Linked DNA regions of Macaca mulatta. Each later gene encodes a partner of the first gene's protein in a complex. Links are inferred from orthologs where the notes say so. Each region holds a gene or a part of one and is shown on either strand. Other genes may lie near its edges. The genes, in order: SLC3A1, SLC7A9 and SLC7A13.

Region 1 (4,095 bases):
TCCATCTCAAGAAAAAATAAATAAATAAGCAAAGGGGTATGGATAGTAGAAACATGGTTATCAAACTAATGGGACATGGAATCCAAGTTGGATCAGGTAGGAAGTGAAGCAAGAGTGGAAGGAGAGAATATAGGTTTGAATTTGCTAGAACACATCACCTCTATGATGAAATCAGAAACCTAAATAATAATTGGAGGTCTGGGTAAATAATAACTGGAAGCCTTACGTCTATTTCTTTCAGAAACTTCCCCCTTCCCATAAACTATATTCATTAATTTTTTCCTCAAAAGGGTTTTACTAAACCAGTTCAATCACTGCATATCTGCCTTTTACCGCTTTGTAAATCAGACAGGTTGATACTTACCCAGTTGTTGGGTGGAACAGTTGTGCCATTTTCATGGGTACAGTCATGCCAGATATAATAATCAGTATATTTTCCTGTCCGTGTCCGACTCAATTGAAACCAAGTATGTTTATCACTGGTGTGGTTTGGTATGAAATCGATGATTAATTTTAAACCTAATGAGTAAAAAAAATTTCAAATGCTAGGAAAAGTTGTATTAGAATAACATATGACAGGCCAGGCACAGCAGTGGCTCACGCCTGTAACCCTAATACATTGGGAGGCTAAGGTGGGAGGACTGCTTGAGCCCAGGAGGTGGAGGCTGAAGTGAGCCATGATTACGCCACTGCACTCCAGCCTGGCAGACAGAGCAAGACCCTGTCTGGAAAAAAAAAAAAAAAAAAGAAGGGAAAGGGGGGGGGGCAGAAAGGAGATAGGGAAGGAAAAAGGAAAGGGAAAGGAGAAAGGAAAAAAGGAAAGGGAAGGGAAGGAAGAAAGAGAAAGAGAAGGAAGGAAGGAAGGAAGGAGGGAGGGAGGGAGGGAGGGAGGGAGGGAGGGAGGGAAGGAAGGAAGGAAGAAAGGAAGGGGAGGGAGGGAGGGAGGGAAAGAAATAGTACACGACAGTTAAAGGGAAGAAATGCTTTAAGTAAACATTTGAAAAAGTGCTTCTCTCAACCCTCACCCCCATGCTGCCCACTTTCCATTCAACTTACCTTTATCATGTATGGCTGCAACCAGATTCTCAAAATCTTCCATCGTTCCAAAAATGGAATCGACTTGCCGGAAGTCTTCAACACCATATCTGAAATCTTTAAGGGACGACTTATAAAATGAAGTAATCCAAACAGTTTTTACATTTAAAGCTGTGATGTAGTCCAGTTTATCTTGAATACCTGAAGAAAAAAGTCAAAGTCATGAACAAATCCTACTTTGTTTTAGTTAAAGGACAAAAAATATAACAAATATGCCTAAGATGGAAATATTTACATGAAGGCAAAAATACATAGAATTTTGTTGAATTTGAGTATAATTCAAATAGGAAGATCTAGCTCTATAAAAAAACAACAACATCAAATTAGGCCGGGTGTCGTGGTTCATACCTGTAATCCCAGCACTTTGGGAGGCCAAGGAGGGAGGATATCTAAGGTCAGGAGTTCAAGACTAGCCTGGCCAACATGGCAAAACCCTGTCTCTACTAAAAATACAAAAATTAGCTGGGCGTGGTGGCACATGCCTGTGATCCCAGCTACCTGGGAGGCTGAGGCAGGAGGATCACTTGAACCCGGGAGGTGGAGGCTACAAGGACCCAAGATCGTGTCGCTGCACTCCAGCCTGGGCGACAGAGCAAGACCCTTTCTCAAAAAAAAGAAAAAAAGAAAAGAAAAGAAAAAATCAAATTAGTTACCTAGCAGTAATCGATGATATTTAACATAGCATTAACAAAAATCTGTGACTTACTCATTTTTTTATATTTAAAACCAAGACTATGGTATTGTTCATTCATTCTACACATAGTTTTTGAGCAGCTAATCTATGCCAGCTCCTGAGCTAAGTGTCAAGGAACAGAGCAGAGTAACACATGGCCCCATCGGTCACGTGGTCTACACTGCACTGTTCTAACAGCCAGGTGCCACATGTGGCTACTGAGCACGGGCAGCGTGGCTGGTTGGAATTGAGCTGTGCTGTAAGGGAACAACATGTATTGGATTTTGAAGACCCTGTACAAAAAGAAAGAATGTAAAAATCTCATTAATATTTTTATACTGGGCCGGGCATGGTGGCGCATGCCTGTAATCCCAGCACTTTGGGAGGCCATGGTGGGCAGATTGCTTGAGCTCAGGTATTCGAGACCAGTCTGGGTAACATGATAAAACCCTGTCTTCAAATAAAAAAAAATAATAATAATATGTATATATTTTTATACTGATTATGTGTTGAAATGATACATTGGATTAAACAGAACATATTAAAATCAATTTCACCTGCTTCTTTTTTCCTTTTTTTAATGTGGCTACTACAGAATTTACAATTTCTTATGTGACTCCCATTGTGTTTCTTTTGGGTGGTGTTGGTCTCGGAAGCGTCTGCAGGCAGGGGTGGCATGACGACAAGACTGGAGAAGAGCTAAGGAAGTGCTGCAGAAAGTGCTTTAAGGGCATCAGGGCATTAGCCCCTGGCCCCCAGGGGCAGAGGAAGCTGATGACCCCTGAGGGTAAGGACAGACAAGGCCCAGGATGGTGCGGGCAAGAGGGATCAGAGTGAAGGGCTTCCAGGCACAGCAAAGGAAAGGAGGGAGCAAGCATAGACAGGGCATGTCTAAAAAAGGGTGAGAAGGCTGGACACAGTGGCTCATACCTGTAATTCCAACACTTAGGGAGGCTGAGACAGGTGGATCACTTGAGGTCAAGAGTTCAAGACCAGCCTGACCAACATGGTGAAACCCTATCCCAACTAAAAAATACAAAAATTAGCTGGGGACGGTGGTGCATGCCTGTAATCCTAGCTACCTGGGAGGCTGAGACAGGAGAATTGCTTGAACGTGGGAGGCAGAGGTTGCGGTGAGGTGAGATTATGCCACTGCACTCCAGCCTGGGTGACAGAGTGGGACTCCATCTCAAATAATAATAATAATAATAAATATAAATAAATAAGTAAATACATCAATTAATTTTAAAAGGTGATAAATGTTGTCAGCGCCCGGGGTCTGAGGAGGAGTGTAACCACAACACGGAAGGTAAGTCTGTGCCAGTATTTGAGGAGTCTTTGTTTCCACTCTCAGACTGCCTTTGAACTTGCCACATTTGGCCTGTTTCCCTTATTCACTTATATAGGAAGCCAGGAATTTATACAGAAGAGAATTTTAGGCTTAGCTGAGAAGACATGTGGAAATGAAACTTTGTATTTGGAACTTCGTAGGATAACGAGCAGATAATGTGTTTTCTCCTTCTAGTTCAGAGTCCTAAATGCATATTCAGCAACTTGAGTCTAGTATTCAATCTCCAGTAACTTTCTGTATAATCCTGATGTGGCTTCCTAGAATCAAACTGTCAAAGGCCACACAGCAGGCTGAAGGTCACTAATTCCAAAGCACAGTCATTCCACACCTAGGATCTGGGCTCTTCCCCTGTAACAGGCTGCTTTTTTTTTTTGAAACGGAGTCTCGCTCTGTCGCTCAGGCTGGAGTGCAATGGTGCAATCTCTGCTCACTGCAACCTCTGCCTCCCGGGTTCATGCCATTCTCCTGCCTCAGTCTCCCGAGTAGCTGGGACTCAACAGGCAACAAAAGAGTTTTGATCTAAGCCAGCACAGCAACACAATGTATCTTATGATGAGGCACAAAGGAACATGAGGATGAAAACAAAGTGGCTAGAGAGAGAAAGTAAACAAGGGATCCCACCCCACATTTTAGGGGGAGAGAGGGCAATCAGTAAAACCAGACTCAAAACTGGAATGGGATCTTCATCATAACAACAACGAAATCCTCTCAACCTCAAAGACAAATGCCTATGGATTGCAGGAAGTAAAACATTTCTCCAAGAACAGGTATTGGAAATGGCAAACGTCAGAGCTGATTAGAAACCACCGTGTTGGCCGGGCGCGGTGGCTCAAGCCTGTAATCCCAGCACTTTGGGAGGCCGAGATGGGCGGATCACGAGGTCAGGAGATCGAGACCATCCTGGCTAACACGTTGAAACCCCGTCTCTACTAAAAAAAATACAAAAAACTAGCCGGGTGACATGGCGGGCGCCTGT
Region 2 (4,773 bases), on another chromosome or scaffold:
AGCCTGAAGCCCTCCCCACTCCTCCATGCTCAGCACCTGCTGCTCCCAACTGCCTGGGCCTGCCGCGGTGACCCGTGTGGAGCTCCTTTCTGCCTTCCCACAGCCCCAAGCTCCCTTCCCCTCCAGGCCCAGGGCCAGCCCCAGCTGCTCACTGCACCCCAACTCAGAGCGGCCGTCCCTGGTAGATGCCTCTAAGACAGAACAGGCTATGCTGGGGGCAGTACTTCCCCTTACTACAGCCATTCAGACATAAGAGGGACAGGCATTTAGAGGGGACTCAACCATCAGAACACCCTCTCTGGCTGGGCACAGTGACTCACGCCTATAATCCCAGCACTTTGGGAGCCCAAGGTGGGAGGATGGCTTGAGCCCAGGAGTTCCAGACCAGCCTGGGCAACACAGCAAGACCGTGCCTCTACAGAAAAAAATTTTTTGAAAAGTTAAAAATTTGGCAGGGCATTGTGGTGCACCCCTGTAGTCCCAGCTACTCCGGAGGCTGAGGCAGGAGGATCACTTGAGCCCAGGAGGTCGAGGCTGCAGTGAGCCATGATTGTACCACTGCACTCCAGCCTGGGTGACAGAGCAAGACCTTGTCTCTAAATTTTTTTTTTTTTTTTAATTTTTTAAAAGGAGGCCCTTTCTGACCATTCCTGGAAAGGTCATTAGTTTGAACAAAACTACTGGCCCCTTTAGACATTTGCCCAACACACAAAAGCACCCAGGTATGAACTTAAAATAATATGTGGGCCGGGCAAGTTGGCTCACGCCTGTAATCCCAACACTTGGGAAGCCAAGGTGGGCAGATCTCTTGAGGCCAGGAATTGGAGGCCAGCCTGGCCAACATGGTGAAACCCTGTCTCTACTAAAAATACAAAAATTAGCCAGGCATAGTGGCACATGCCTGTAGTCCCAGCTACTCAGGAGACTGAGGCAGGAGAACTGTTTGAACCCAGGAAGCAGAGGTTGCAGTGAGCTGAGATCAAGCCACTGCACTCCAGCCTGGGCGACATAGCAACACTGTCTCAAAAAAAAAAAAAAAATGCAGCCGGGTGCAGTGGCACACACCTGTAACCCCAGCACTTTGGGAGGCCGAGGTATGAGGATCACCTGAGGTCAGGAGTTCGAGACCAGCCTGGCCAACATGGCAAAACCCCATCTCTACTAAAAATACAAAAATTAGCCGGGTATGGTGGCGGGCGCCTATAATCCCCACTACTCAGGAGCCTGAGGCAGGAGAATCCCTTGAACCGGGGAGGTGGAGGTTGCAGTGAGCCGAGATGGCGTCACTGCACTCCAGCCTGGGCGACAGAGCAACACTCCATCTAAAAAAAAAAAAAAAAAAAAGAATATACAGAGTTCCCTGGTGAGAGGGAAAGAGGGAAAGAAGTAGGTTCAGAGATTGTCCCTTTAAAGATGTAATTCACAAATCAAAGAGCACATCTTCTGCCGTGTCACTAGGGATCGGCCCGGATTTCACTGCCTGCGCCCCTCGTTCAGACGCCCTTGCCTAACCTGCAAAGGGCCCGCCCCGCCAGAGACCGCCTTACCTCCTTTTGGAGATTGGTGGTCTTGGGCTCTTGGCTCTGGATCGACTTCTCATCCTCTCTCCGCTTTCTCAGGCCAGTATCCCCCATGTTTCCTCCTGCTGGTTCCAGGAGACTGCAAGGAAGGCACACAGCTGAATCTTGGTTCAGCAGCAGCAAACAAGATGCAAGTGCAAGCTCGGCCTGGACTAGGGGAGCTGGCTCCAAAAGCACAGTGTTGGTTACTGCGACAGGCGGGGGCCGCTGCCAGTCCTGCAGGGCTCATGCGCTGGGCCCCAGAGTCAAAGTCAGTCATTAACACTGTCCAGGCAGGGGAACACAGCTCCCCACTGTTCTCCAAAGCTCAGCTGCTTGCTTAGCTTTCTCCCAGACAGGCCCCGGGAGCCTTCTGGCCCACGTGCCTGTGCCTTGAAAGTTATTCTACCTCCGTGGTCCAACTTCATTTTTTTTTTCCAAAAGTTAAAAGAAATATTTAACAACATCCTGGGCTGGGCACAATGGCTCAGGCCTGTAATCCCAGCACTTTGGGAGGCCAAGGTGGGCGGATCACTTGAGCCCAAGAGTTTGAGACCAGCCTGGCCAACATGGCGAAACCCCGTCTCCACTCAAAATGAAAAAAAAAAAAAAATTAGCTGGGCATGGTGGCGGGTGCCTGTAATCCCAGCTACTCAGGAGGCTGAGGCAGGAGAATCACTTGAACCTGGGAGGTGGGGGTTGCAGTGAGCCAAGATCGTGCCACTGCACTCCAGCCTGGGCCACAGAGCGAGACTCCGTTTCAAAAAAATAAAATATAAAAAATTTAAAAATGAAAATATTGTGGAATGTATTTATCAGAATCAAGTCCAGGTAAGGAGTGTGTGTCTTATAATTCCTTCCCAAGATTAAAGACACTCCCCTACATCACAGAGCCACAATACAATACAGGTACTTTTTCTTTGTACTTTTTAAATTTTTACAATATTTTTTTTGTAAAGACGTGAGTCTCGCTATTTGCCCAGGCTGGCCTCCAACTCCTGGGCTCAGGCAGTCCTTCCACCTTGGCTTCCCAAAGGGCTGGGATTTCAGGGGTGAGCCACCGCACCTGGCCAGGTACTTTTTCATTAAGTGATGAAAGGAATGAAAACATTGCCGAGGAAACCCAGTTCCAGACTGAATTAGGAGGTAACCATGCACCACTGTACCCTCTCTCTAAATAAATTCTCTGTCCAGGCCCCGGCCAGGAGAGCCATGAGCCTTTCTATCACCCACGGACCTTACCTTCCTCCGTGACCCTGCAGAGCCGGAGAAGCTGCGGCCCAGCTGACCGCCCGTGCCTGCACGGTCCAACCCTAGGAATGGCCATGTCTTGTGCCCAGGAGTGAAGGAAGTCCAGAAGGTACAGAGGTCAATAAAGGTAATTATTAAACACCTTTTTTTTTTGGTTTTGTTTTAGCCATGAAGCTTAGATACGCCACACAAAAAGGGGAGGGTGAGGCAGACCAATTTCTCTCCAAAACTGTTTTTGTTCATTTGTGTCTAGGTCAGATTATTTTTTTAAAACCAGATAGTCCCAAATCATCTACACTTTTTACCTAAAGATAAAATAAATTATGCCTTCTTTTATCTTTGGGAATCAGAGGAGGTAAACTTTGGAACCAATTCTCTAATTGCTTTAATAGGCTATATTTAAAACCCAAGTCAGGCAGCTCAAACAGGAACTGCTGTGTGTGTGTAACTCAGCTGTTTGTCAGTTTCCTCCCTGCCCAGGAAATTCCCCCAAGCCCCGGGCCTGCCTCTGGCTGATCAGGTGAGAGCGGTTGAGCCCGTCCCACTCCTCTTTACCAGTGATGGGGCTTCACCACTTGGAGCCACGAGCAGGCCTGAGGCAGTGCAGGCCCCCACATCCTCCCTGCAGCTGTGGCCAAATGCCCATCAGATTTGGCTGTGGTGCTGTTCACGTAGCCATGTCCTGGCTCATCAGACACAAGGGACACAAAACCTTCCCCATCGGGGAAACAGAGGCCTATGGGGGGACAGGAAACACATGGCCAGGAAGCTCCGGTCCCCATCCAGGGCTGCCAGGGTCTGGATGTCTCCGGGAGGGAGCAGAGGTTCTCCCGCGCTGCGACTGGACCCTGGGTCAGGCGGCAGCCTCAGAGGTCAGCACTAAGCCCTTTCAGATAGGGAAGGAAGCACCTTATGAGACAGGCAGGACAGCCTGGCACAGCATAAGCACTGCGTGTGAAGCATTGTAGCTGTTATCTTCAGCCAAAACTCTGGTAGCTTTGCCTCGAGGCAAACCTAACTGCATCCCAGATATTGGATGGAAGCAAAGGTCAGGGGTGGAAGGAGCTGGGCGAGTCTTTGGGGCACAGTTTGGGGCAAGCAGACCTGAGAGAGGCACAGGTTTCTCTCAAAGCCGTCTGCAGAGCACAGGAACCTGATTTAGAAGTTCATCAGCTCCAGGCCGGGCGCGGTGGCTCACGCCTGTAATCCCAGCACTTTGGGAGGCCGAGGCGGGTGGATCACCTGAGGTCGGGAGTTCAAGACCAGCCTGGCCAACATGGAGAAACCCCGTCTCTACTAAAAATACAAAAAATTAGCCAGACGTGGTAGCACATGCCTGTAATCCCAGCTACTCGGGAGGCTGAGGCAGGAGAATCGCTTGAACCCAGGAGGCGGAGGTTGCAGTGAGCAAAGATCGTGCCATTGCACTCCAGCCTGGGCAAAAAGAGCGAAACTCCATCTCAAAAAAAAAAAAAAAAAAAAAAGTTCATTATCTCCCATCTTGGGAGGGCACAGCCTGTTTACCTGCCTGCCATGCCCAGAGCCCTGAGCAGAGAGGCTGGAGAGTAGAAGCCAGGGGCTGGCGGCAGGTCCTGCCACCCCCAGACAGAACCTGCCCACAGGCTTGCTGGGGTCACTCCTCCTAATGCTGCAGCCTCGTCATAGCACCTGGCACATCCATGTTTGCAAAACACCACAGAATACTCCCTGGGGAAACGTGCTCCTGGCGGGCTGACAGGAGACCACATGAGGAGGGCAGGGTGGGGCAGTGGTCCCCTGCTGGGGCCAGACACCAGACAGCCCTGCAACCTCACCCACTCCCCACATGGGCTCAGGCAGCACTGCCAGGATCAGGATCTGAATCTGCAAAGCGGGGCTAGCAACAGGCGCCTCCTCGTGGAACACATTGAACTTGCGTGTTCCATGAATGTCCAGGAATAGACCACTGGTCTTCCTCGGCCTC
Region 3 (4,095 bases), on another chromosome or scaffold:
AATACTCAGTTATTGTGAAACATAAGAATAATCTGGTCTTGGTTTTAATTTTCATTTTTATTGGCTAGGTTACTCAATATAAAGTCTCTTATATTCCATTTAATGGTTTATTAGAGAGAAAAACAGTTCTCTGGATGGTTAGACAGATCATTATGAGTCTTTTGAACAGATATTATTTTGTCTACTTATGTAACTAGTTATGCATATGAATGTCTTCCACAGTCAGGGTCAGATTTAGCAGATGAGAAACAGAAGAGGCAAGGTGAGGTCACAAGTGATAACATCCACTGTTCTGAAACATCAACTTACTTTGTTGGCAAATTCCAGTCTTTCAACTTTACTTATTTTAAACTGACTTTCAGTCTGGATGAAAAAAATTTTCACAGGAGAGGAGACAACCATTTAATTGTAGAAAAACAAATAAGCAGCAAAACTTGGTAGCATAAGAATGTTATTGGAGAGAGATGGCCCTGACACTGATGATCAGAATAATAAAATAATCTTGGTTGCCTAGGTAGGTTGTTCAAAGCTTGGCTTGGATGATCACCTTTAATCCTCTCAGTAATAGAAAGGTGGATTCTATTGTTATTCCCATTTTACAGATAAGAAAACAGACTTAGAAAAGTTAGGTCACTTGCCCAAGCTCACACAGCGTGGATTACAGCAAGATTTAAATCTAGGCAGTCTCTTTGGAGTGTTTGACTCTCGCTAAATACAAAATATACGAAAGAACTGCTGAGAGAACGAAAGCAATGTTCCCATCACCAGCTGTGGTTGATTTATGTCCTTCTTTCCTTTCCAGCCTTCTTTTCAACTTCTTCCATCCAGTCATCTCTTAATTGTTGTGTATCTGAGTATTAGTTGTCAAGAAGCAACTATATTTTAAGCACCTTGCTAGGTACTCTGAGTAGAAAAATAATTAAGACTTGGCTCCTGCCTTTAGTCAGGTTATAATCTATCTGGACAGTCATGTAAACCAAAAATCATGGCGTGATGATTGCTACCTAGTGATCTGCAGAGGAAGCTCAGAGAACACATACGGAGAGAGATCGAATCTACAGCAGGGTTGATGGTCATAGTCCCCCTTGGATGTGCCTCCCTAACGTCTGCTCTCTGTATAGTTTCACATGCTGCATCTTTTTAATGTCTTTTGCTGTTTTCTCACCCACACTTTTGTTAGATCACTGACCCTAATAGATACAATTATAAAGAAGTTATGAACTGGGGGATAAATTAGTTATACACAAATAACAGCATAAGATAATCATTAAGAGCTTTGGGCTCAAGTCCAGTTGCTTGGCTAATAGCTGAGTTTAGTCTTGTTATTGAACCTCTGAACCTCAGTTTCTTCAGATGTAAAATGGGAAAAAATAATACCGACCTCCTATTAACATTGGATGTATTAAGTAAGCTAAGGCATGCAAACAATCCAGGGTCTGACATTGATGGCTATTATTGCTTATATTATTATTCAACTTACATTTGCATCAGAAAGGAAGGCAAGAACAGCCTTAAGTACAAGTGGCTAAAATTTGTCTTGTATGCCCCCAGGAGTGCTCTTTTCTTTTCTCTCAATTATTTGATAACTGATACTGAGCCATGAGATGATAAAGTATCTTTATTATTTATTTATTTATTTATTTATTTTGTTTTTTGAAATGGAGTCTCACTCTGTCGCCCAGGATGGAGTGCAGTGGCGCAATCTCAGCTCACTGCAAACTCCACCTCCTGGGTTCACGCCAATCTTCTGCCTCAGCCTCCCGAGTAGCTGGGACTACAGGAGCTCACCACCACACCTGGCTAATTCTTTTGTATTTTTAGTAGAGACGGAGTTTCACCACGTTAACCAGGATGGTCTCAATCTCCTGATCTCGTGATCCGCCTGTCTCAGCCTCCCAAAGGGCTGGGATTACAGGTGTGAACCACCGTACCCGGCCTAAAGTATCTTTTTCAAGGATGCTTTATAAACTAAGAAGAGATTTTTTTTTTTTTTTTTTTTTTTTTTTTTTGAGACAGAGTCTCTTGTCGTCCAGGCTGGAGAGGCTGGAATGCAGTGGCGTGATCTTGGCTCACTGCAACCTCCGCCTCCTGAGTTCAAGTGATTCTCCTGCCTCAGCCTCCCAAGTAGCTGGGATTACAGGTGCCCGCCACCACACCCAGCTAATTTTTGTTTTTTTAGTAGAGACGGAGTTCCACCATGTTGCCCAAGCTGATCTCGATCTCCTGACCTCATGATCCACCAGCCTTGGCCTCACAAAGTGCTGAGATTACAGGCATGAGCCACTGTGCCCGGCCAAGAAGAGATTCTTAATGATTAAATCCCAACAAATAATCCTCTAATGAAAGGGTTTTGTTTCATAAATTATGACTAGCTGTGTTATATATATCTTTGGGGAATGTAGATTCATATTAGTTATATCTTATATCAATTTTCTCCCTAGGTTGGGTAATGTTGTAGAGAACTCTTACAATTCTAACACAAAGCAGGTACCAAGGACTGGTCTTTAAGGCTTTTGGCAAAACAAAAACAAAATATAAAACAGGGAAAATTGTTTTAGCTAAAATTTTTGTCTTGATTTTTTTTTAATATGTTGAGCCTATAAAGTTATAACATTTACCTGTCAGTATTTACCTGTGTAACAGAGGGTCTGAGGATGGTTCTTCTGTTTTGTCATGAATTTCTTACTGCCTTGAGATATTTTCCAAAGAAGATTTTTGTTACTTCCATTGGGCCTTAGAAATTCCCTCTTAACAGATTCATGGTACTCAGATCAGTAGATTGTGATCTTATCAGCAAATGGTTCTAGTTATTTCCATTCATGGACAGTCAAATGCTAGATGTCCATTCCCTCCAACCTGACAATGTGTCTTCAACGTCTCCTTTCACTCAGGCATTTATCTGACTTCTAAGCCAGGTTTATTCAACTTTACAGCTAATTTAGCCTGTTTAATTAGCTTGTATCTCTGCATTTTTATTTATATAAAGATGCAGGTATCATTCATGGATGTTCATATCTAATATTTTTTCAAACTTTGCTCTTTTCAGGTGTTTCTGCCATTTCCATTAACCACAATAGTCATCGACGTGGGCTTGGTTGTGATACCATTGGTAAAGTCTCCAAATGTGCATTATGTCTACGTGCTTCTGTTAGTTCTCAGCGGATTACTATTTTACATACCTTTAATGCATTTTAAAATAAGATTGGCTTGGTTTGAGAAGATGACTTGCTATTTACAATTACTATTTAATATTTGCCTCCCTGATACGTCTGAGGAACAGATGTCAGAAGTGCAAACTGTTAAAAAATAGCCTTCTAAAAAACATATATCAGATTCCAAATCAAGGTTAAACACATGATAGAACATTCATGGTGAAATTCCTATGGTAACTATTTTTTTTTCTCAAATGAAATAAGTAATGTATACAAAAGTACCCAAGACAGTACCTGGCTTCAAAGTCACTAAGAAATTGTTATGCATAACTAAAGCTCTGCTTTGTGTGGTAAAAAACTTAAGTCCTGGTTTGCATAGCTTGATAGAGTGATTATACATCTCCCATTCTCTAACTCTTTTTTCTGTATCCCACCCCTTTTCTACTGAATTTGTGGGAATCCTATAATAAAAGTGAATGACTAAAAATTTTAAAAGCATTCCTTATCTTCATCTTTCCTGAGTCCTTTTTTTTTGAGGTGGGCGGGGCCAGGGAAGATGCTGATTTGAAGATGAAAAGAATAATTCTATTTTTCCAGTTGGCTTTTCCCTTCTAGAATGCAGCACTTTTTTTTTTTTTTTTCTCATCGAGATGGAGCCTCACTCTGTTGCCTGGGCTGGAGTGCAGTGGCGTGATCTCGGCTCACTGCAACCTCCACCTCCTGGGTTCAAGGGATTCTCCTGCCTCAGCCTCCTGAGTAGCTGGGGTTATAGGCGCCTGCCACTATACTCAGCTAATTTTTTGTATTTTTGGTAGAGACTGAGTTTCACCATATTGGCCAGGCTGGTCTCAAACTCCTGAACTCGTGATTTGCTTGCCTTGACCGCCCAAAGTGTTGGGATTACAGGCGTGAGCCGCTCTGCCTGGACCCAGTTTTTTTTTTT

Evidence for each region.
Region 2: the proteins of SLC3A1 (region 1) and SLC7A9 are in contact, whole or in part, in a cryo-EM structure (PDB 6LID), measured with the Homo sapiens proteins. The link is inferred for Macaca mulatta from reciprocal best matches to the Homo sapiens genes SLC3A1 and SLC7A9. Residues at the interface, in NP_000332.2 of Homo sapiens: Pro64, Tyr65, Ala66, Gly67, Met68, Pro69, Lys70, Leu73, Phe74, Phe76, Ser77, Tyr82, Pro85, Arg86, Phe90, Thr93, Val97, Leu100, Ile101, Ala103, Thr104, Ile107, Ile108, Ser111, Cys114, His201, Asp202, Thr373, Glu374, Pro375; in NP_001119807.1 of Homo sapiens: Cys137, Phe140, Tyr141, Val142, Gly143, Cys144, Pro147, Ile149, Val150, Cys153, Leu154, Ala156, Ala157, Leu160, Phe161, Thr164, Leu168, Thr279, Thr281, Asp295, Arg296, Tyr299, Tyr343, Val346, Arg347, Lys467, Thr470, Met471, His472, Gln474.
Region 3: the proteins of SLC3A1 (region 1) and SLC7A13 are in contact, whole or in part, in a cryo-EM structure (PDB 8WK6), measured with the Homo sapiens proteins. The link is inferred for Macaca mulatta from reciprocal best matches to the Homo sapiens genes SLC3A1 and SLC7A13. Residues at the interface, in NP_000332.2 of Homo sapiens: Pro64, Tyr65, Ala66, Gly67, Met68, Pro69, Lys70, Leu73, Phe76, Ser77, Arg81, Tyr82, Pro85, Arg86, Leu89, Phe90, Thr93, Ser96, Val97, Leu100, Ile101, Thr104, Ile107, Ile108, Ser111, Cys114, Leu115, Glu194, Asn195, Asp202; in NP_620172.2 of Homo sapiens: Ile120, Phe123, Phe124, Pro125, Ser126, Cys127, Leu132, Pro133, Cys136, Leu137, Leu139, Ala140, Met141, Trp143, Ile147, Arg151, Lys187, Thr265, Arg267, Asp281, Arg282, Glu450, Cys454, Tyr455, Gln457, Leu458, Leu459, Phe460, Asn461, Ile462.

The regions. Positions count from the first base shown.
Region 1 is NC_133418.1:80,554,733-80,558,827, forward strand, and holds part of SLC3A1 (amino acid transporter heavy chain SLC3A1), read right to left. Parts: intron 1,237-4,095; coding exon 1,057-1,236; intron 520-1,056; coding exon 365-519; intron 1-364. UniProt on the Homo sapiens protein: Acts as a chaperone that facilitates biogenesis and trafficking of functional transporter heteromers to the plasma membrane.
Region 2 is NC_133424.1:44,155,710-44,160,482, forward strand, and holds the start of SLC7A9 (B(0,+)-type amino acid transporter 1), read right to left. Parts: upstream 2,893-4,773; 5' UTR 2,802-2,892; intron 1,660-2,801; 5' UTR 1,635-1,659; coding exon 1,548-1,634; intron 1-1,547. UniProt on the Homo sapiens protein: Associates with SLC3A1 to form a functional transporter complex that mediates the electrogenic exchange between cationic amino acids and neutral amino acids, with a stoichiometry of 1:1.
Region 3 is NC_133413.1:96,680,880-96,684,974, reverse strand, and holds the end of SLC7A13 (solute carrier family 7 member 13), read left to right. Parts: intron 1-3,046; coding exon 3,047-3,310; 3' UTR 3,311-3,647; downstream 3,648-4,095. UniProt on the Homo sapiens protein: Associates with SLC3A1/rBAT to form a functional heterodimeric complex that transports anionic and neutral amino acids across the apical plasma membrane of renal epithelium.